5 linked regions of the Rattus norvegicus genome follow. The protein of the gene in region 4 interacts with the protein of the main gene of each other region in a pairwise test. Links are inferred from orthologs where the notes say so. Each region holds a gene or a part of one and is shown on either strand. Other genes may lie near its edges.

What was found.
Region 1: the proteins of Mkrn3 (region 4) and Ube2k interact in binary tests that used the Homo sapiens proteins (3 or more experiments, as listed by UniProt). The link is inferred for Rattus norvegicus from reciprocal best matches to the Homo sapiens genes MKRN3 and UBE2K.
Region 2: the proteins of Mkrn3 (region 4) and Psma1 interact in binary tests that used the Homo sapiens proteins (3 or more experiments, as listed by UniProt). The two-hybrid records come from large-scale screens. The link is inferred for Rattus norvegicus from reciprocal best matches to the Homo sapiens genes MKRN3 and PSMA1.
Region 3: the proteins of Mkrn3 (region 4) and Enkd1 interact in binary tests that used the Homo sapiens proteins (3 or more experiments, as listed by UniProt). The two-hybrid records come from large-scale screens. The link is inferred for Rattus norvegicus from reciprocal best matches to the Homo sapiens genes MKRN3 and ENKD1.
Region 5: the proteins of Mkrn3 (region 4) and Fam110a interact in binary tests that used the Homo sapiens proteins (3 or more experiments, as listed by UniProt). The two-hybrid records come from large-scale screens. The link is inferred for Rattus norvegicus from reciprocal best matches to the Homo sapiens genes MKRN3 and FAM110A.

Annotation. Positions count from the first base shown.
Region 1 is NC_086032.1:43,016,712-43,020,223, reverse strand, and holds part of Ube2k (ubiquitin-conjugating enzyme E2 K), read left to right. Parts: intron 1-1,488; coding exon 1,489-1,588; intron 1,589-3,512. UniProt on the Homo sapiens protein: Accepts ubiquitin from the E1 complex and catalyzes its covalent attachment to other proteins. In vitro, in the presence or in the absence of BRCA1-BARD1 E3 ubiquitin-protein ligase complex, catalyzes the synthesis of 'Lys-48'-linked polyubiquitin chains.
Region 2 is NC_086019.1:177,885,054-177,889,281, forward strand, and holds the start of Psma1 (proteasome subunit alpha type-1), read right to left. Parts: upstream 2,805-4,228; 5' UTR 2,717-2,804; coding exon 2,714-2,716; exon of another isoform or gene 2,234-2,713; intron 1,261-2,233; coding exon 1,216-1,260; intron 930-1,215; coding exon 828-929; intron 720-827; coding exon 616-719; intron 1-615. UniProt on the Homo sapiens protein: Component of the 20S core proteasome complex involved in the proteolytic degradation of most intracellular proteins. This complex plays numerous essential roles within the cell by associating with different regulatory particles.
Region 3 is NC_086037.1:50,503,608-50,507,707, reverse strand, and holds the start of Enkd1 (enkurin domain-containing protein 1), read left to right. Parts: upstream 1-1,291; 5' UTR 1,292-1,581; coding exon 1,582-1,666; intron 1,667-1,746; coding exon 1,747-1,941; intron 1,942-2,817; coding exon 2,818-2,990; intron 2,991-4,100. Other genes in the region: C19h16orf86 (uncharacterized protein C16orf86 homolog), read right to left, coding at 1-188, 522-739, 978-1,061. UniProt on the Homo sapiens protein: Microtubule-binding protein which regulates microtubule organization and stability. Promotes the stability of astral microtubules and facilitates the proper orientation of the mitotic spindle.
Region 4 is NC_086019.1:125,338,377-125,342,523, forward strand, and holds Mkrn3 (probable E3 ubiquitin-protein ligase makorin-3), read right to left. Parts: upstream 2,803-4,147; 5' UTR 2,691-2,802; coding exon 1,104-2,690; 3' UTR 288-1,103; downstream 1-287. UniProt on the Homo sapiens protein: E3 ubiquitin ligase catalyzing the covalent attachment of ubiquitin moieties onto substrate proteins.
Region 5 is NC_086021.1:160,935,401-160,938,912, reverse strand, and holds part of Fam110a (protein FAM110A), read left to right. Parts: intron 1-57; exon of another isoform or gene 58-191; intron 192-946; exon of another isoform or gene 947-1,118; intron 1,119-1,205; exon of another isoform or gene 1,206-1,504; coding exon of another isoform or gene 1,505-1,518; intron 1,519-2,567; coding exon of another isoform or gene 2,568-2,643; coding exon 2,644-3,512.

The sequences.
Region 1 (3,512 bases), on a different chromosome or scaffold from region 4:
GAAAAGTAGTGTGCTTGCTTTCCCACAGCCTTTGTGTGACGGTCCAGCACCTCAACTAGAGGTTGCTACTGGATTCTTCAATGTGTGTTAGCGTGCTATTCACCCTTATTTTACTTTTTTTTTTTTTTTTTTAAGATTTATCCATTTATTATATACGAGTACACTGTAGCTGTCTTCAGACACCAGAAGAGGGCATCAGACCTCTTTACAGATGGTTGTGAGCCACCATGTGGTTGCTGGGAATTGAACTCATGACCTCTGGAAGAGCAGTTGGGTGCTCTTAACCTCTGAGCCATCTCTCCAGCCCTATTTTACTTTTTTGAGGTAGGGTTTCTTTGTGTAGCCCTGGCTGTCTGGAGCTAGCTCTGGAGACCAGGCTGGCTTTGAATTCACAGAGATCCACTTTCCTCTGCCTCCCAAATGTCTCATGCCATCACTGCCCTGTTAGCATTGTAAATATTTCAGTATTAGTGAAGCAAATTTTAAATAAATAATTGTTTCATAAAGACCAAGGTTTTTGTTGTAAATATATTCAGGACCATGACTAAAATTATAAGATTCATTTTTATTTCTCATGATGTTTGTGCTTTGTTGTGGGTATATGAGGTCCATGTGGGAGCCTACAGAGGCCAGAGAGCATCAGGTCCCCTGGAGCTGCAGTTTCAGGTTATTTGCTAGCTGCCAGCATGGTGCTGGGACCTTTGCAAGAACTATACACACAGATTAATTCTGAGCCATCTCTCCAACCTCAAGTATAATGTTTTAAATAAAGATTTGTTCTAGTTTGGAATATTATGGATTGAACAGAATTCTTGGAAGGCAATTTATCATTATTTATCATTATCATTATTTAGCATAAAACTGGTTAAGGGCATGCACTGCTTGTTCTTCAGTGGTCCAAGATGAATTCCTGGTACCCATGGTGGGTGGCTTACAACTGTGTAACTCCATCAGGAGAAGATCAGCCTCTGTCCTCTATGCACCTGTTACTCATAGTCACATACACAGACATAATTAAAAGTATAGAAAGTCCATGTTCAGTATTAGTAACTTAGATTTATGTCACTTCACTGTGAAATATGGGTAAGGGATTGAGAGGGCTCACTTAGTGGTTCTCATAGAGGACCAGGCTTTGGGTCTCAGCATCCATAGAGTGACTCAGAAACATGTCTACCTAGTTCTCACCTCCGTGAGCACCAAATATGGGTCCATACATACCTGCAGACAAAATCTAAGAAAAAAATGAAGACTGACATCAGTAGATAAAGCTTACAGGGTAGGTAAATAAAACAAGCAGAGAAAAAGCAAGGTCAGGTCAGGATGAGGTGACTTGAATTCTTAGAAATTGGCTTGTAAAAATAAAAATTTGGCAGTTATACAAACTACAATTTTTAGTTCTAGTATATTTTGTTTCAGTTCAGAAAACAGATGCCATTTATGTCATTCAAAGTCTTTTTAACTGGAATATTTTTCAAATTTGAAATTTAGGGCAGCAGCAATGACTCTGCGCACAGTATTATTGTCATTGCAAGCACTGCTGGCCGCTGCAGAACCAGATGACCCCCAAGATGCAGTAGTAGCAAATCAGGTAAGAGCAGCTGAAAGGCTCTTAGAGCTCTGTGTGCAGCGCTGACGTTTGATGTCAGCATGTGAGAATTCTCTGTTGGGACTAAATTTGGAAGTAGATTCTTTTAATGGAATAATTTTGTCACGTATAATAAAATCATGTCATATAATAAACAAATAACAATAAACAAAGAATAAACAAATACCGGTTAGGAACCCCACTTTTCACTGATGTCCAGATCTCTGCATTGCAGAAGTTTTTCATGATTCAAGCTCTTCGTGAACACTTGACTCTACGTGCTGTTCTTGGCGTTCATGAGTCTTTGCGATTGTTCTTATGTCATTGTGTTGCTTTCCTCGCTTCCTCTTTAAGGAAACATCAGCCAGCCTTTGACATTGTAAAAATGTCCCTTTAAAATGTTTTTTAGTTTGGCTGGAGAAATAGCTCAGCACTTAAGAGCACCGACTGCTCTTCCAAAGGACCCAGGTTCAAGTCACAGCACCCACGTGGCAGCTCATAACAGCCTGTATCGCTAGTTTCAGGGGACACGGCACCTTCACATAGACATATATGCAGGCAAAACATGAATGCACATGAAATAAGAATAATTTTTTAAAAACGTGCTTTGTTAATGTGTGCTCACAGCACGTGGCTACAGGTCAAAGGACAACTGTTCCGTCCTGTACTCGTGTCCTTGGCTGCTGAGCTGTTGTTTCAGCTCAAATTTCTTTGTCCTCATGGCTGTTTAAGGGGGTGAAAAAAAAGACTTATTTTTAAAATTCTGTTCCTGTGTCTCCGGGTATGTTTAAGTGCTGGGAGTACCTGTAGATGTATCAGGAAGGTTCTGGATACCCTTGAGTTGAAACTAGACCACAAATGTTGGTGTTGGGAATTGATTTCTGGTCTTCTGAATAACAGCAAGTGTTCTGAGCCGTCTGTCCAGGCCTTCCTTATGGCTTTAAGTATCTATCTGCTTATTCTTTTTGATCATGCTCCCTCAGTTCCACTGCTAGACTAAACTGCTTGCAACTACCGCCTCTATTCCTTAATATTTGGTAGCAATCTTTCCTGAAGTTTAGCTCTGATTTTCCTGCATATTGAGATTAAATTGAGATATAAAATAAAAGATCACTTTTGAAAAAATTATTTATGTTATGCGCATTGCCTGAATGTATGTGTCTGGGGGTATTGGATCCTAGAGGCACAGGCAGATGTGGACTTCCATGTGGTGCTGGGAATTGAACCCTGGTCCTCTCGAGTCCAGCCAGTTCCTTCAACCACTGAGCCATCTCTTGTCTTCCATAGCTGACTTTTAATACCTAAAATAATGCTTGTGTTGTTTGTTAAAAAGTATTGCTTGAAATACATTAGGTACATTGTCTTACTTTAAGATAGATTAGCCTTTTGGTTTGCTAAGAGCTGGCTATGAGTCAGAAGCCCTCAATCTTAGCACTCTATAGTTAGAAGTTGGCAGATCTCTAAATTTGAGGCAAGTCTGGACTAAGTAGAGATAGCATGTTCTATGCTAGACAGTGCTACAAATTGTGAACTGTTGTATAGAGAGAAAGCAATGTCAGGGGAGAGGTACAGTGGATTTACTCAGCCTCTGCTCGTGCTAGAGAGCTGGATGGCTCAGGTCTCAGCCCCCACAGCGGGTAGCTATTACTGTCCTCTTCTTGGCCTTCCTGGCATTTCAACATGTGTTCATCTACACAAACAATGTAAAACAAATTTAAAAATGGTACTTTGATAAGAAATATTAAAATGAATTTACCTTACCTTTTTCAGTTTCATGTGTGAAATCTTTTCTCGAAGGGCTCTTTTGTGAGTTTTTAAATTGTCTTCAAAAGTAATGTAAGTTAGACCTTTGAGTGTTCTGTTTACTTTGAATTCTGTACAGTACAGCTCTATGCATCTAGCTGTCTGTCAGAACTTGAGTTCTGCC
Region 2 (4,228 bases), about 53 Mb from region 4:
GGTCCTGAGTTCAACCAGCAACCACATGGTGGCTCACAACCACCTGTAATGAACCGATGCCCTCTTCTGGTATGTTTGAGGACAGTGAAGCTGTATTCATATGCATAAAATAAATAAAATCTTAAAAAAAAAAAAAGGAAATATGGGGTTGGGGATTTAGCTCAGTGGTAGAGCGCTTGCCTAGGAAGCGCAAGGCCCTGGGTCCTGGGTTCTGTCCCCAGCTCCGAAAAAAAAAAAAAAAAAGGAAATAGAAATACTTAGTTACACACCCAAGCCCACTAAGGTATTTACAATATTACAAATTTTAATATTCTGGGGGCTAGAGAGATAGCTTAACTGTCTCAGAGGTTCCTGAGGTCCCAGGTTCAATTCCAGTATCCACATGGAAGCTCATAATCTTCTGTTACCCCAATACCAGGGGAGTCTAAGGTCTGAAGAAACCAGACACACACTAGTGCAGACATACATACATGAAGATAAAACACCCACACAAATAAACAATTAAAAAGTATAATATTCTGGGAGATGACTTCCTATATCTTATCTAGGTATTTTTTAATAAAATAGTCTATTAAAAACGAAAAGCGATGCTTAATTTTTCATAATCATACATACCATAACAGTCTGGCATCAGCAGTTAGACCCGCAATTGAGATACCAATATGGTTGTCAACGTGGAGAATTTTCTTCTGGTGAGCGGCAAGCTCTGACTGTGCTCTCTAAATAGACACAGCATTTTAGTTTGGAGGTTGATTATTTATCAGTGAAATTTACATTTGATAGCTCTGGCTCCTGAGGGAGGAAGATAGGGTCATCATGTCACTCACCTTCAGCGCGACCAGCACTGCATGTGTCTTCGACTTCAGGCCGACTGTCGCTGAGCCTTGCTTTACAGCTTCCATTGCATATTCGATTTGATGAATCCTGCCCTAAAGACAAAATAATATTTTTCACTTTTTGAAACCAATAAACTAATTTTAATTCTAACTTTAAGCTTGTAGCCCATAAGCTCACAAGCTTTGTTTCCTTTTTTAAAATAGGGTTCCACTAAGTTGCTCAAACTGCCCACCAACTCCATGATCCTATGGCTCTGGCCTCCTGACCAATTAAAAGATTACAATGTGAACCTCCAAGCCCAGTTTATGATCTCACAGGTTTCTGACCCTACTCCAGCCATGAAAAGTCACTTCATTAATAGGTCATAAAACATTTTACCTGAGGGCTCCAAACAGTGACATCGTTGTCATACTGGTTGCGAAACTGAAAGTGGAAGAAAGATTAATATGAGAACATTACAATTTTCAAATTTTAACAATAAGACATGTGTTTCAATTGTTGAAGCCTCTCTGCTAGTGCAGCTTTCCTGAGACACTATTAGAGTGCTCAGTTTGCAATGCAATTCTACCTTAATCATGTACAGGCTGTCGGGATGAATGGACTAGGGTCTTCCTACCTTCATATTCTGCCATTCTCCATAGCACTTCCCTCGGGCAGTCAAGTGCTAAAGAATGCACACTTTGCTCATACTACTCTCTTACACAGGGCTCTAATAATTTGGCAAAGGGCTTTTCTTTAAGTCGACTTAAATGTCTATCTCTTGAAGGTTTCTTCTTTTTTCCGAAAATTCTCAGCACAATTTTCCAGCAGAGCTAAAGTCTCATGCAGCCCAGTTTGGCCTTCATTTGCTATATACCTGGGAGAATGATCCTGAAGTCCTGCTTCAGCCTCCCAAGTGCTCAGATCACAGGTGTCTGCCATCATGCTCAACTATATATATTTTTCCCCCTTCTCTCTCTTTCCGACTCGGATTCTACACTCTGGCTGTCCTGGAACTCACTGTGAGTTAGGCTAGCCTCAAACTCACGAATTCTACCTGTCTCTGCCTCCTGAGTGCTGGGATTAAACTCAAGCACCACAACACCCGGTCTTTTACATACCTTTTTATCTTTATAGTATGATTAAAGTTACGTTTGGCTTAGCTTTGAGCTTTCTTCCTGTACTTTACCACTGGATGAACAAACACACGAATTCTCAGTAAAAAGGTGGCCACAAATAGCTACCGTGGCAGAACCACTATAGCTATAATGTCATTACTAAAGCAAGTTTGTCGGCCCTTGGGAGTATAATATTCATGAGGGTAAAAAGACCAAGAGTTTGCATGGCAGACTCGACAGAAGCAGCCCAGGGCCCTACGTTGTAAACCTGATTCTATCACTTTCTCTTTCATCTCTAGGTAACAAAACAAAATGATTGTATGGAGCCTTTCCCTACGGCACTCTAATGAGACGGATAAAGCCAAATACACCCACAAGGAAGATGAACTTGGTCTGAAGACCTGACTGCAGGCTCTGGTCTGCACTGACGATGCCAGATGCACCCTTTCACCCCTATAGTCTCTCTCCTATGCAGATCACGAAGGACCATACAGCATCTTGGAATAGGCCACTTAAGTAAATTGGGAGGGAAGGACGACTGGCTGGCCGAGAAAGAAGCGCCTGGACCCCATGCAAAGTGGAGAAGCTGCGCGATAGGCCGCCTAGGTTACTGATCGCTTCCCGCCGGCCAGGCCGCAGATGCTGAATCACTGCAGGAGCATGTCCGTGAGGTAAGCTCCCTCTCCCACCGCCCCGCGCCTCAGGGAACAGAGGCCGATCCCCGACCAGGTCAGCTGACCTCAGCCCCAAACCCTCCGAGGACTCGGGGCTCAACACACCATAGCTCCGGCGAGGTTACAACCAGACACAGCAGCGGACACAGGAACACGGCCTCAACTACGGTTCGGTGATCGTCAAAGAAGGCTGCGGAGTCTTCACGGCGCCGACGCAGGAAGTGCAGTCTATCCCAGAGCCACGGATCAGCGTTTAACGCTTCCCCGCCCTCCAGCTCTGGGTGGGCGGGGCCTGCGAAAGCAGATAAAATGGGATTGGTGGGAAACCCGGGAATGCCTGTGCGCAGAGAGGGTTGGGGGCGTGGTTCCATGTCAAGCGCTGTGTTTCCGTGTTTCCCCCCTCCCCCCCCAGTGGATTGCAGATTCCCGCCAACTCTCGGTCCACTCCACTGAACATCGCCCCCAGCTAGGGATGGTGTGGCGGACCCGCATAGATTTCATCACAGTGCCCAGAGGTTTGGGAAGCAGCACGACTGAAAGAGGTTGCAGAAAAAGCCACAGAACCATTCATTCTCTCTCTCTCTCTCTCTCTCTCTCTCTCTCTCTCTCTCTCTCTCTCTCTCTCTCTCCCTCTCCCCCTGTCCCTCTTCCCACTCCCCAAACCCTCTCGTGTGTGTGTGTGTGTGTGTGTGTGTGTGTGTGTGTGTGTGTGTGTGTGTTCGTTCGTTTGTGGTCCTGGCCCCTGAATATCTTGAGTACTTGGCGAGCCCATCCTTAAAGGCTCCTTGGTGTCTCGTGGTCGTATTACTCATTTTGTGATCATTAGTTGCCATTGTAGGACCAGGTTTCTGTTCTGATATTTGATTTTCGCTGTCCACAACCAAATGCCATATATGATAGATTAGGCCACTAGGGGGAAGGTGCGAGTTTTCTTACGGATTTTTAAAGAGCATCTTTTGATTTATCCCCAAACGAAATCAAGACAGTTCTGTGCTCACTGATCTACCTAACATCTACAGACTGCCAGTTCTGTTGAAGAATAGAGTCAGGTCTTTAAGGATCTGAACTTCAAAGGAGGAGTAACACATCACTTAAATGTCTCTGTTCACAGTAATTAGTATCACATTCTAAATATCTTTATGTATGTGTATATATGTACATTTTTTGTTTTTACATATGTTTTTTGTGTGTTTGTGTCCCTGCATACACTTATGTGAAAGTCTGAAGACAATGTTGGTGATTATCTCCTTGCACTGTGTGGATTCTGGGATTGAACTTTAAATTGATAGATAGGGCTGTTTTGTTTGCCCAGCACCAGCACAGTGCCTAACACATATTAGGTAAATAATTTGTATTGCTGAATGAACAATGGATTTTGAATGAATGGGTAATTAAATGCTGATTTTAAAATAGTTGGGGAACCGACTGCAGAGTGCCATTTACAACCATCTGTAACTCTAGGGGATCTGGCTTCTTCTGGTTTCAGCGACACTTGTGCATACATGTTGTGCTTCTACATAGGTAAAACACTCATATACATAAAATAGTTTTTTTAAAGCACCCAAATTAGCACATCTACTTTTAGGATTTCTTTTTAAAAATGTTATAAAAATCTTCACA
Region 3 (4,100 bases), on a different chromosome or scaffold from region 4:
GAGCCCCTACACTCTTGCGTTTCTTGGCTTTTTTGTGCTGTTTAGATGACAGCGAGGATTCACTGTGGCTGCCTTCTGGCTCCTCCTTCTGTAGCAGCAGCCCTGGTGGCAGTTCGGCCTCTGCCCTAGGATGGGCATGGTAGCTTTGCCCTGGGAGGGCTGGGGTACTCAAGCCTGGGACAAGAGGCCTGAAAGAGGTAGGCTTCAGTCTTTGGTTCCTGTGTCTTGAACCTAGGGCTTACCCCTGCCTGTCCACCAAGCCACACTAGAGCTAGTTAACTGTCCATTTCTTAGTGAAGTTCCAAACCCAACAGGGGCCCAGCGTTCAATGGTAGCTAAGTCTCCTACAAGACTAAGAAGCCCCAAATCCACACCCCCGCCCCAACTGTTCTAGAGAAACAGGAGCTGGAGGTGAGGGCATTAGAAGAAAACAAGGTTCTTTGCCTTGAAGGAATTGGGATTTAGGAATCTCCAGGTCTAAGACCCACCTCCCCAGCCTTTCCCCTTGAAAGCCCTCTCACTTTCTCTTGGGCCCATGAGCTGGCCTCACGATGGATGATGTAGGCTTGGGTCCTCTCTCCTCTCCTGCTTCCACCCCTGGATTGAGCCCTTCCTCTCCCAGGTTTATTCCTTCCTCCTGGAGCTCTGGCTCTAAGCTGTGTCCTACTGGACACCTGTCTTCACCTGGAGTGCTGCAGGTCTCGTGTGCTGGCACCAGACACTCTTCTGTTCCTGGACACTAGAAGACATACATAGGTAACTGATAGCCCATGGTCAGGCAAAGCCCAAAGCTGCTGCAACTGGGGCATCTCTCTTGGTTTGGGGGCCTCTCCTAACTACATATTGGCCACAGAATAGGAAATCTTAGGTCCCTCTACCTGCAGGACTTGGCCTGGCAGTTAGAAGGTTGGGTCACCTAGAGTCCTGCTCTTCTGCCCTACCCCTCCTCCTCCTGAGCTTTGAAATGCCCAAGTCACCTCAGGGATCTCTGCAACCTGGGCTAACCCTACTGCTGCCCCATTCTGGGCTTCTGGCTGCCTCTTGGCCCCTGCTGAGGCCATGGCAGGAATCAATGCATCCCTCGACGGTTGCTCAGAGAAGACCGCAGGCCCAGAGCAGGGCTGGACCGGTGCTCAGTGTTGGTAGGGGAGACAGGTTGAGAGGTAAGGATCCTGTTGCGACCCGAGACTTAGACTCGCTCCTCATCTGGAACTACAAACCCCAGAAGGCATTTCGCCTTAGTCATTTGACCCCTGACCTCAGGAAGCCATTTGTTGCCAAGCAACAGCAACTCCTACCGACTTGCTACAGTTGGCGGTAAAACTGCTGCAGTGAGAGTCCACGCTGGGGCTTTGCAGGGGGAGGGGCCGCGAACCCCTCAGGGCCGTGTGCTAGTCGCGGGGCGGTGGTACGGGCTGAGCTTAGGAAACGAGCGGTAGTCGAGGGGTGGGGGTCAGTGATGGGGGGTACCACGGGGCTACAGAGCTCGGGTGGAGGGTGGAAACACCCGACAGGGATTAGAGGGGACATTTGCACAGCGCAACAGGTCCTGATGCACAGTTGCAGGGCTACGGTAGGATCATGTGCGAGGGCCCGTCCCGCATCTCTGGACCCATCCCCCCAGACCCTACTCTCTGCCCGGACTACTACCGGCGGCCGGCCTCGGGTGAGTTGCGGGGTGCCGCGGCGGGGCGAGTACCCCGCCCCACCTCTGAGCACGGCTTTCCACCGCGTCTTGCTCTTCAGCCCAAGGACGCCTGGAAGGAAACGCGTTGAAGCTGGACCTGCTGACTTCAGGTCGCGACCTGGACTCCAGCCCTCCTCGTGGCCCTCGCATCAGGCCTGGAGCCCGAGAGATCCTAGAGCGTGGCCAGCGAGGTGTGGGGGACGTGCTGCTGCAACTGGGGGGCATCTCCCTTGGTTCAGGGGTCTCTCCTAAGAGTAAGTCCTTGCAGACGGGGTATTGAGGCATTCATAGGTCAAAAGCAGAGATTAAAATAGGGTGCTTCTTAACCGCCTTGAACCCATTCAGTTAATGTGTTTTTCTGGGTCTTAATTTCTCTAGCCTAAAAGAAGGGCAAAATACTTCTTGCAGGATCAGAGTTCATCCTTCTGCAGAGAGCTCCAGCTTCAAGCTTTCACACCTTGATAGAACAGTTCCCTTAATGCCTACTTTGTGCCAAGCCCTATGGTTGTTAGGAAAACAAGGTTAAAAAGTATGGGAGTTGTCCCAGGGTAGGGTAACACCCAAGGGGGGCTTCCCCTTCACTGAAGAGAAGGGAAGGGGGTAATAGGGAGCCGGATATGACAGGGGCAGGACTGGGGTGGGGGTTACAATTGGGATATAATGTGAATTAAAAAATAAGGGGCTGGGGATTTAGCTCAGTGGTAGAGCGCTTACCTAGGAAGCACAAGGCCCTGGGTTCGGTCCCCAGCTCCGAAAAAAAAAAGAACCAAAAAAAAAAAATAATAAATAAATAAATAAATAAATAAATTTTGGGGAAAGAAGTAAGGGAGTCAATAAACAAGACAGGACATATGTATAATATACTCGGTGATATCATAAAATGTAGAAGGTAATCACAATTTCTGTGTAAGGGAATAAGCTGCTAATGTTGCTGTGTGTATGGCATTCAACTTCCATGTAGAGGTCTTGGTTGTATTTAAGAACTTTGTGTGTGATATTGGAGATTGAACCCAGGGCTTCTCATATACTGGACATCTCCCAGGGGTAGGGTGTGAATCTGTATGAGATCTAGTCTGAGTTGCACAGCCATTCGTAGGGCTGTTCCTAGCAACATTCCTCCCCTCCTCCAGGGAAGGATCCAAAAGACCATGAGAAGGAAAACTTGAGGCGGATCAAAGAGATTCAGAGGCGATTCCAAGACCAGGAACGCAGCCGGGAGCAGGCCCAGCCCAAGCCCCTGAAGGCACTGTGGCGCTCACCCAAGTATGACAGTGTAGAGTCTCGAGTCAAGGCCAGGATGAAGGTATCTGTCTCAGGCAGGCGGACATATCCATCTTGGCCAAGGCAGTTATATCTAATCTAACTTACGGGGTGTGTGTGCGTGCGTGTGTGTGTGTGTGTGTGGTGTGTTCACAAAGACTAAGACATCTGGTGGACCTTCTCTGAGGAACTGATGGCATCAGGGCAAGTGAGGATTAGGCTAGAGGAAGAAAAGGTTCCCCAGAGATGAAACCCCACAGGTAGGTAAAAGTTCTGGGCTCAGGGAGTAGGGGCAATGGGCATATAGATATAATTCTATTTGTAGGGGGAAAGCAGAAGGTTAGAACAGAAAGCCAGTTAAATACATATCTGAAAGAACTACCTAAGTTACTTATCAACATGTGATATTGGAGATTGGATCCTGGGGCACACGCACACTGGGTACTCATAAAATTATATCCTCAACCTTCCTACTAATTCATTCTCAGTTTCTCTGTCTCTATCTCTATGTTTCACGTAGCCCAGGCTGACCTCAAGTTCTTTGACTTTCTGATGCTCCTTTGTTCACCTACCAAGTGCTGGGATCAAAAGTGTGCGCTACCACGCTGCTTTCTCTCTTCTTTTTCTTTTAGTTAATTACTTTTTTGAGATTAAAAAAGACCAAAATTATGTGTCTGGGTGCCTGCATGTATGTCTGTGCACCACAGAGACCAGAAGAGGGTGTGGATCTCCCGGAACTGGAGTTACAGAGAGCTGTGAATTGCCACATGATACTGGGAATGGAAGCCACATTCCCGGGTAGAACATCCAGTGTCCTTAACTGTTGGGTGCTATCATACCCCACCACCACCACCACTTCCACTGCTACTTTGTTTCTAGACAGGGTCTCACTGTGTAGCCTAGTCTAACTTCAAACTCCTGTAGCCCAGGCTGGCCTTGAACTGGCATAATTCTCCTTCCTGTCTTAGCCTCCCAGATGTGGACAAAATGGGTTTGGACCACCACTCCCAGATGATTTCTCTCTGAGTTGGTAGCTTGCTGTTTAGCCTTAGGCTGTCCTTGAATTCTCTCTGTAACCTAGCCTGGCCCCAAACAGTTACTTCTGCGTCAGCCTCCTGAGTCCTGGGACTGTAGGCATGTACCACTATTTCTT
Region 4 (4,147 bases):
TCTTATACCCTGTCTGACGTCAATACTTATTACTATTTTTTTCATAGTCACATAACTTTTATTTTGAAAACCTTTCCTTAAAAGTTCTTTGCTTATAAAATATACAATAACCAGATATTTAAGATATTAAAAACAAAGAAATGTATGTTTGAGTTCAGGAATTGTCACTGTGAAGACAAATGAGATGGTGACTTCGTGTGAGGCACTGTTTCATTATAGAGAAGCTGTTAATGTTATCATAGAAATTTTCAAAGTCATGTTTTGTAAATCCATTAAAAAGAGTCAGATACACACATAGCAGTCATTTTTATTAGATGCTAATCACTGACATCAGTGCAAGGGCAGGTAATTATCCACACAATTCACATACAGCCCATACACTTGGACTTTAACATTAGGCTTTCAGCTCTACATTTATTTCATTACTTCAAACATATATTACGATGTATATTTGTTTCCAGTTTTTTCAAATACATCTTTGTATACATATACGCATATATATCATTCTTAAATATATATTTCCAAATATAAATAATTTCACATCAAGCCAAACAGGATAAAAACATGTAAACATATGCACCTCATTTTGGTCAAGTAAAACAGAACCACAAAATAACCACAAGTTAACAAGTGCACTTGAAAGAGAAGAAACAAACATGTAAACAAACACAGACAGCAGCTGCAAGGTCCTGTAAGGGTCCATTTTTTTTTTAAGGCTATATAGCAAAAAGCTCATAATTCAGTTAAAGACTTTTGTCACCTTGTCACATTTACTCTTAAGGGACTTCACAATGAGAAACTGTAAACACTAGACTAGAAGTGATTGAATCCTGTTGGAAAAAGACATCACAAGTCATCAGCTGACAGAAATATTAATTCCACCAAACAATACTTATAAGATTTCTTGTTATTTTGTAACACGGAGAAACATCACAATCCTAGCGAGAAGAAATGGGAAATAGAGGAGAAAACAGCAATACTGCATAAAGATTGCCTCAACAGCCTTTGAAAGCGATAGGGTTTTTGAGTCAGTCGATAAAGGGGAATAAGCAACAGCAGACAACAGAGCCTTAGCAGACCAGACCACATGCCACAGCGTGATACTACAGATTCAAATTGAAATATTCTTCCAGCTGGTACTGAAGCAAGAGCCACCGGTCATCAGAGATGGAAAAACTGCCTCGCAGGCAAAGCAACTTCTTAAGCAACTGATTGGCCAGGCGAAGCACGGAATGCTCCTTTTTACGGCTTTTAAACAGCACGCTTCCCTCTCGCAACTGCACAGGCTCCAAAACTTGATGCCAGTATGCGCTGGACGATCCACCACCATCTGGCCTCGGAGGCTGATCTCTCCAGCCCTCGGGGTATTCATGCTTGTAAAAACAGAATTCTCCAAATGGGCAGTGACCTAGGCCTCCAGCAAAATACCTGCAGGCTTTCTGGCTCATCCCCTCCTTATATTGCTGAACAAGTTTCTCCTTCTCCTCTTCCTCCTCCACCCAGAACTCACTAGGAATGACAAAGCCAGAGGAGACCCTGCACTGTGGGCAGGACTTACTGATCCTGTTCTCAAACTGTGTGGCACTTCTCCACCTGCGGATACACTTAAGACAGTAGGTGTGGTTGCAGCTGAAAAGGATGCCAAAGCGGCGGTCGCTGGGGTCGGCCTTCTCATAGACAACCTCCATGCAGATGCCACACACTTTGTCCATGCTGCGCTGCACAGCAAAAGAGAGTTCCATATCTCTCTCGTGTGCTTCAACGCAGGCCCTTCTATGAGCTTCCTGCTGAGCTGCATCCCAAGGGTGCAGGGCCTGTTGCCCGCACATGTCGCATATTTCTCCATGGGGGTATGCACACCTGTCCCCACGGAGGCATTGTCCCCGAGCAGCATAGCGGCAAAGCGGCAGCGGCATTCCCATGCCCATAGCCATATGCTCTCTCTCAATCTCCGGGCTCTGCAGAGGAGCCTCGGGACCATGCGGGGGGATCATGCGACCTCGATACGGCTGTCCAGGAACAAACTCAATTGCCCCCTCCCAGCCTTCTGCACCCGCTCCTCCCGCAGCACCTGCTGCAAGGCCTGCATTGTCAATCTCAGCTTCAGGGAAGCCCCTTTCAGCAGCTGAGCCAATGCCTGCATTGTCAATCTCAGCTTCCGAGAAGCCCCTTTCAGCAGCCGAGCCAATCAGAGGCAAGGAGCTTGAGGATGCAGTAGGGGGGGCTTCCGCCACTTCCTGAGTCGGGGGCTCCCAGTGAGTGGCCATCTTGGGTCCTCTGTCTGCAGAGGCCCGAGGCTGAGAATCTTGGCCCCCCCTAGCTTTCCGCCGCCCAGAAAGGTCGTGAGAGTAGCGACAGTTATCGCCCTCCTTGCACTGCCCATGCAGATAATACCTGCAGAGGATTTGCTTCGTCCAGCTGCCTGTGTTGCGCTCCGGACCAGACCTGGCCCCGCCCCCTTCGGCTGGAGCGGGTCTCAAACTCGCCGCGCGCCGGTTCGCAGGGACTGGAGCCATAAGAAACGGTGCCAGGCCCGATGCCTCTTGCAGAGGGGCTGAGCTGGCTACCGCAGAAGCTCCAGAAGCCTCAAACTGAGGAGGGGGGGGGGCAGACACACCCTCCCCCCCCTCAGCACCTGCCTCGGCGCCGGCGGCCTCGTAGGCTTCCATGGGAGCTGTAGACTCTTCCATCACGCAGCGTGCCTCTAACACTGTCCAAAAACCCGAATATTATGTCTTTTTTGTGCTTGAATTGCGGAGCTGAAGATGGTCCGATCAGCTTCTTCTCGGAGAGAAGTGCATCAATTTTTGTCTTCCCACCTGCTCCCTGTTCCCTGAGAACTTTGGTTCCTACCTGCTTACAGGCAGCCGGACACTTCCGGTTGTAACACCATTTTCCGGTGCTTCACCGGAAGTTGCTTCCGCCATGTTTTTCCCGTACCGGTAACCGCTTAAGATATTGGAATCGGCTTCTGCCGGCTCTCTTAGAGCGATTCTGAACTCCCCAACCCCCGTTTCCACACTGTTTTCCTTGAAGGTTGATGTTTTAATCTCTCCAGGTTTCGGTTGTATACATTGCATTTTATTTTCGTTTTCAGTTAAGAAAACGCTACAATCCTTGCCTTTGCCATCGGCTGCTATTGACATTTATAGAACATTTCACTCATAAACATTAAAAAATATTTTTCGGTTCAATCTGTCTTTTGTTTATAGGTGACTACTTTTTAAATCGAAAAGGGGCCCCCCCGCCGAAGCATTTCTCCTTTGACGCTTATAGATCTGACACAATTTCTTTGGGTCTTTTTTCCTTGAAGGGTTAATTTGCGTGCACTTTAATTAGAAGGGAATCCTCTGCCCTGAGGCTAGTCAGACAGAGCCTTTCACTTTCCTGCCTTTGTTATATATCCCCACCCACCCCACAACAAAGTAGAAGCCTAGACTTTGTCTAGCCCTGATGAAGACTTAATAAGCCAAGGTCTGAGAGTGACCCAGGCTTTTAACTTTTTTCTGTTGGTTGGATTCGGAGACCCTTTGTTCCCTGCCTTCCTTTTCATCCCATTCTGCTCTCCCGAGCTTTTCATAATACAAGCTCTTCTTTGTGCACCAAAGTGTCTCATTTCCATTTCCACATTGAGCCGCAGTTTTGTTTTGTTTTGTTTTTTCGTTTTGCAGATATATACTATTGGACTAATAATTTCATATATAGTTCTACAATGCTACATCTACTTACTATAGTGTCATACTAAATTTTATAGTGTAGTTATTTGTGGGTTTTTATTTTTAGTAATAACCATGTTGTCTTATAATATTTAATATACTACTTTTTTCCAAAACTAAAATTATGCTTGCTAAAATAATTTTATTACAGGCAGTCTTACAAACTAAGGTTAAAAAAACTCTGAATGCTTTTGATATAATCATCCAACTCAAAATATTAAAATATTATTCTCCACTAAATAAAGCCAACAACAATAAAACAAGCTAAGAGGAACATTATCAAAGAATATAGATAAAAGAGGTGAAATGAAGCAAAAGTAAATATGAAATAAGGAAATAGAATAAGCGAAATTTTTCTTGTATAACTTATCAAGAAACATAATAAAAGGCTCAGAACTCCAGCATCACATACGTCAAAAGAACTGACACTA
Region 5 (3,512 bases), on a different chromosome or scaffold from region 4:
GTTGGTGCGGATCGGCTGGCTCATTGTGATTAGCTCTTACCAGCTGTCTCCTTTGTCCCTGCTGGGCTTAGGTCCTGCCCTCCAGGATCGGACTTAGAGACCCTCGGAGGGGGCGGAGTCTGCCAACTCCACAGTCAGAGCCTCAGTTTATGACAGTGCGTCTGGTTTCGGGAGCGCTGCCCATTTTTCAGGTGCTGCGAACCCGTTTGATCTTTCCAGCGGTGACCCGAAGGCACAGGGAGGTCTATTTTTAACTGGGTTTAATAGGTAGAGGAACAGTCTTTTAAGAGCTGCCTCTTGTGCGAGGTGCAAGGCTGGTGGGAGAACGGGGACCCTGGTGTCTACCAGACCAGGCTTGGGAACACAATCTGCCTCCCCCCCATTTCTTTGTAGTGTTAGGTGGTGGGTATAAAAGCAAGGTGCTGGTGGGGGGAGCTTCTGCCCTAGCCCTGCCCCTCTGACCTCCTTCCTCTTTCCCAGGTGATGTCGGGGAGGGAACTGCCTCAGCCACCACCAACGGGTTGGACTGGTTTGGGTGGCAGAGCAGATGTGGGGGCTAGGGAGGTGAGGCAGGATCTGGCTACCTGAACAGGACTCTTAACAGTTCTGCTGGCTAGACCTAAACCACTTAAGGTCAGTTGAGGGTCTGTTTGTGTGGGCCAGCCTTCTTTTTCTGCCCAACAACCTCTTAAGCCTTGGGAGAAGCCTTCCTCCTATCCCCCAAAACTTCCGTGGGGGCTGGGGAGAGCAGATAGATCTGTAGACATACTATGCTTGCCCTGTACTACTTGTCGTTTTAAAATGGTGATGGAATTTGCTCACAGTTAAAAACCTAGAGAAAGCTAGTCTTGGTTTGCTGGTGCTAGTGACACTCCACCCCTCACCCTGGACCTATCCGCCTGTGGTGGGCGGGGCCACTCTAGTTGACTGGTGTGCTGGTCCTCAGCTGACTCCCGTGAGCATTTTAGTTCAGGACACACTTGTGGAATATCTAGCATGTGTTGAGAGCCACATCATGAAGCTGAGACTCAGTGAACAAAGCAGCCAAAACCTGTGCCCTCGTGGAGCTGACATTTTTGGAGTTGGGGACAGCAAAGAAAGAAAGATTCATATCCACAGTAAGTTATATGGTACCAATGGATATAGTGAGACGAGATATAGGGTGTGTGTGTGTGTGTCTGTCTGTCTGTCTGTCTGTGTGGTACGTGGAGAAGTGATGTGGTAGGAATTAGTGTGTTCAAGCTAGGCTTCATGGGAGTCTGCTTTTTAAATCTCTGTGACCTAAGGAAGTCACTTCCCAGAGTCTCAGTTTTCCCAGCTACAAAATGGTAACAGTGGCTTTCAGGCTCTTGGAGGTGGTAGGAAAGTAGCTGTGAGCGTCTGGCACACAGGCACACAGTGGAGAGCGTTGTCTTGAGATGTCTGGCTGTTCCGGTGAGGCTCTTCTGTGTTTGGGCATGCTCTGGCCCAGTCTGTCTGGTATAGTACCACGTCCCATGTGACCATGGAGAACTTGAGGTATGGCTAGTGGCTGCTGAGTGATCTCAACTGCAGATGCCCTTGGTTTGGAATATGGGTTTTACCTTGTGCATATTTGAGGGGCCTTGGGTATGGGGAAACTGGCACTTTCTGACCCTCTTTCCTTGGAAACAGAGATGGCAGGGTTGACTTGCTGTAATGGTCTAACATCTGACTCTTAGATAACCATGGGGACACTTGAGCACCCAGACATGGGCCCTGCAGCCCATGAGCACTGTCATGGTGGTTGGTCAGCAGCATAACACTTGGTGGGGCTGTGACCTGGATAGGTCTTTGCACCGGCATAGCTTGGGGCTGATGTTTATGCCTGTCCACATGCCTGGATCTCCATGGGCTTGGCCTTGAAGCCATATCTTGGAAACTACCCTAATCTGGACTCTACGGGGTGGGGGTGGGGCCTTTCTGCCTCTCTCTCTCACAGCCTTTTGTTTTTGTGCCCCTTGTGGGCCTGGCATGTCCAGGCAGGTGGTTGGCACTGCGCAGCTTCCTGCCTGGGCTAGTTGCGGGATGTTGGTGGTATCTGGATCTCTGTGCAGTTCAGGTGGGATGTGGATGATGGTCATTCAACCCCAACTGCCCGGTCGCTAGTAGCCCCCTCTCTTGGAAGTAAGGGGTGGCTTAAGCAAACCCATTGCCCCTCGAGCTTCAGTTTCCCAACCCCTAAATGGAGCCATTGAGAGGACCCCCTTTTTTTTCTTTTCTTTTTTTCGGAGCTGGGGACCGAACCCAGGGCCTTGCACTTCCTAGGCAAGCGCTCTACCACTGAGCTAAATCCCCAACCGAGAGGACCCTTTTTAAAGTGGACCTGGCTTCTCTACCACTTTTCTCTCCCTCAGCTGTGCGGGTCCCGCCCACTATTGGAGGGAAATGCCGTGGGTGGGGCCATAGGCCTTCCCGGAGTACATTTTGCCTGGTGATTGGCTCTGTGAGAGGCAGGGGCGTGTCCTTTACCTTATAATAGCTCAGGCTTCGCCGCCAGTGAGCCTTTGTCTGAACGTGCTCAGCCTGTCTTCTTTCGTTGCTTGCAGCGGAGCCCCGTATCCAGCTGCCAACTTTGTGCCTGTATCTGTCTTCTCGCCTCTGCCCTCGGGGTATGTAACGGCCATGCCCGTGGACACGCTGAGCCCGGGAGCCCCCACCACTCCCGCTTTACCTTTTCGCCTGCGAACCAAGGTCCCCGGCTACCTGCTACCAAGGCCAGCAGATGGGGGAGCCAGGAAACCGAGTGCTGTGGAACGCCTGGAGGCTGATAAGGCTAAGTACGTCAAGAGCCTGCGCGTGGCCAACACCCGCCAAGAACCTGTGCAGCCCCCGCTCGCCAGGCAGCCCCTCTTCAGCCCAGGTTCTCGCGGCCCAGTGCTCACACCCAGTCGCCGAGTCCTGCCCTGTTCTGGTCGCCGGCCCCAACTGGACCTAGACATCCTTAGCAGCCTAATCAACCTGTGTGATAGTCCCGTGTCCCCATCTGAGGCCAACCGAACACCTGGACGGCCAGAAGGATCTGCCCACAAGGTCCCACCAGCCACCCCTCCTCGTCCGCCTCCTAGTACTGTCGCTGTGCGCCGAGTGGATGTTCGTCCCCTGCCTGCTTCACCAGCTCGCCCCTATCCATCACCTGGCGCCGCTACCACTTCCAGCCCGGGCCGGCCCCCTGGTCTGCAACGCTCCAAGTCGGACCTGAGTGAGCGCTTTTCCAGGGCAGCAGCCGATCTTGAGCGCTTTTTTAACTTCTGCGGCTTGGACCCAGAGGAAGCACGAGGATTGGGGGTGGCCCACCTGGCAAGGGCTAGCTCGGACATCGTGTCGCTAGCCGGGCCAAGTGCTGGACCTTGCAGCTCTGAAGGGGGCTGCTCACGCCGCAGCTCTGCTACAGTGGAAGAGCGGACCCTAGAGCGGGTCCCCTATGGGGTGTCTGTGATCGAGCGAAATGCCCGTGTGATCAAGTGGCTGTATGGGTTGCGGCAGGCACGCGA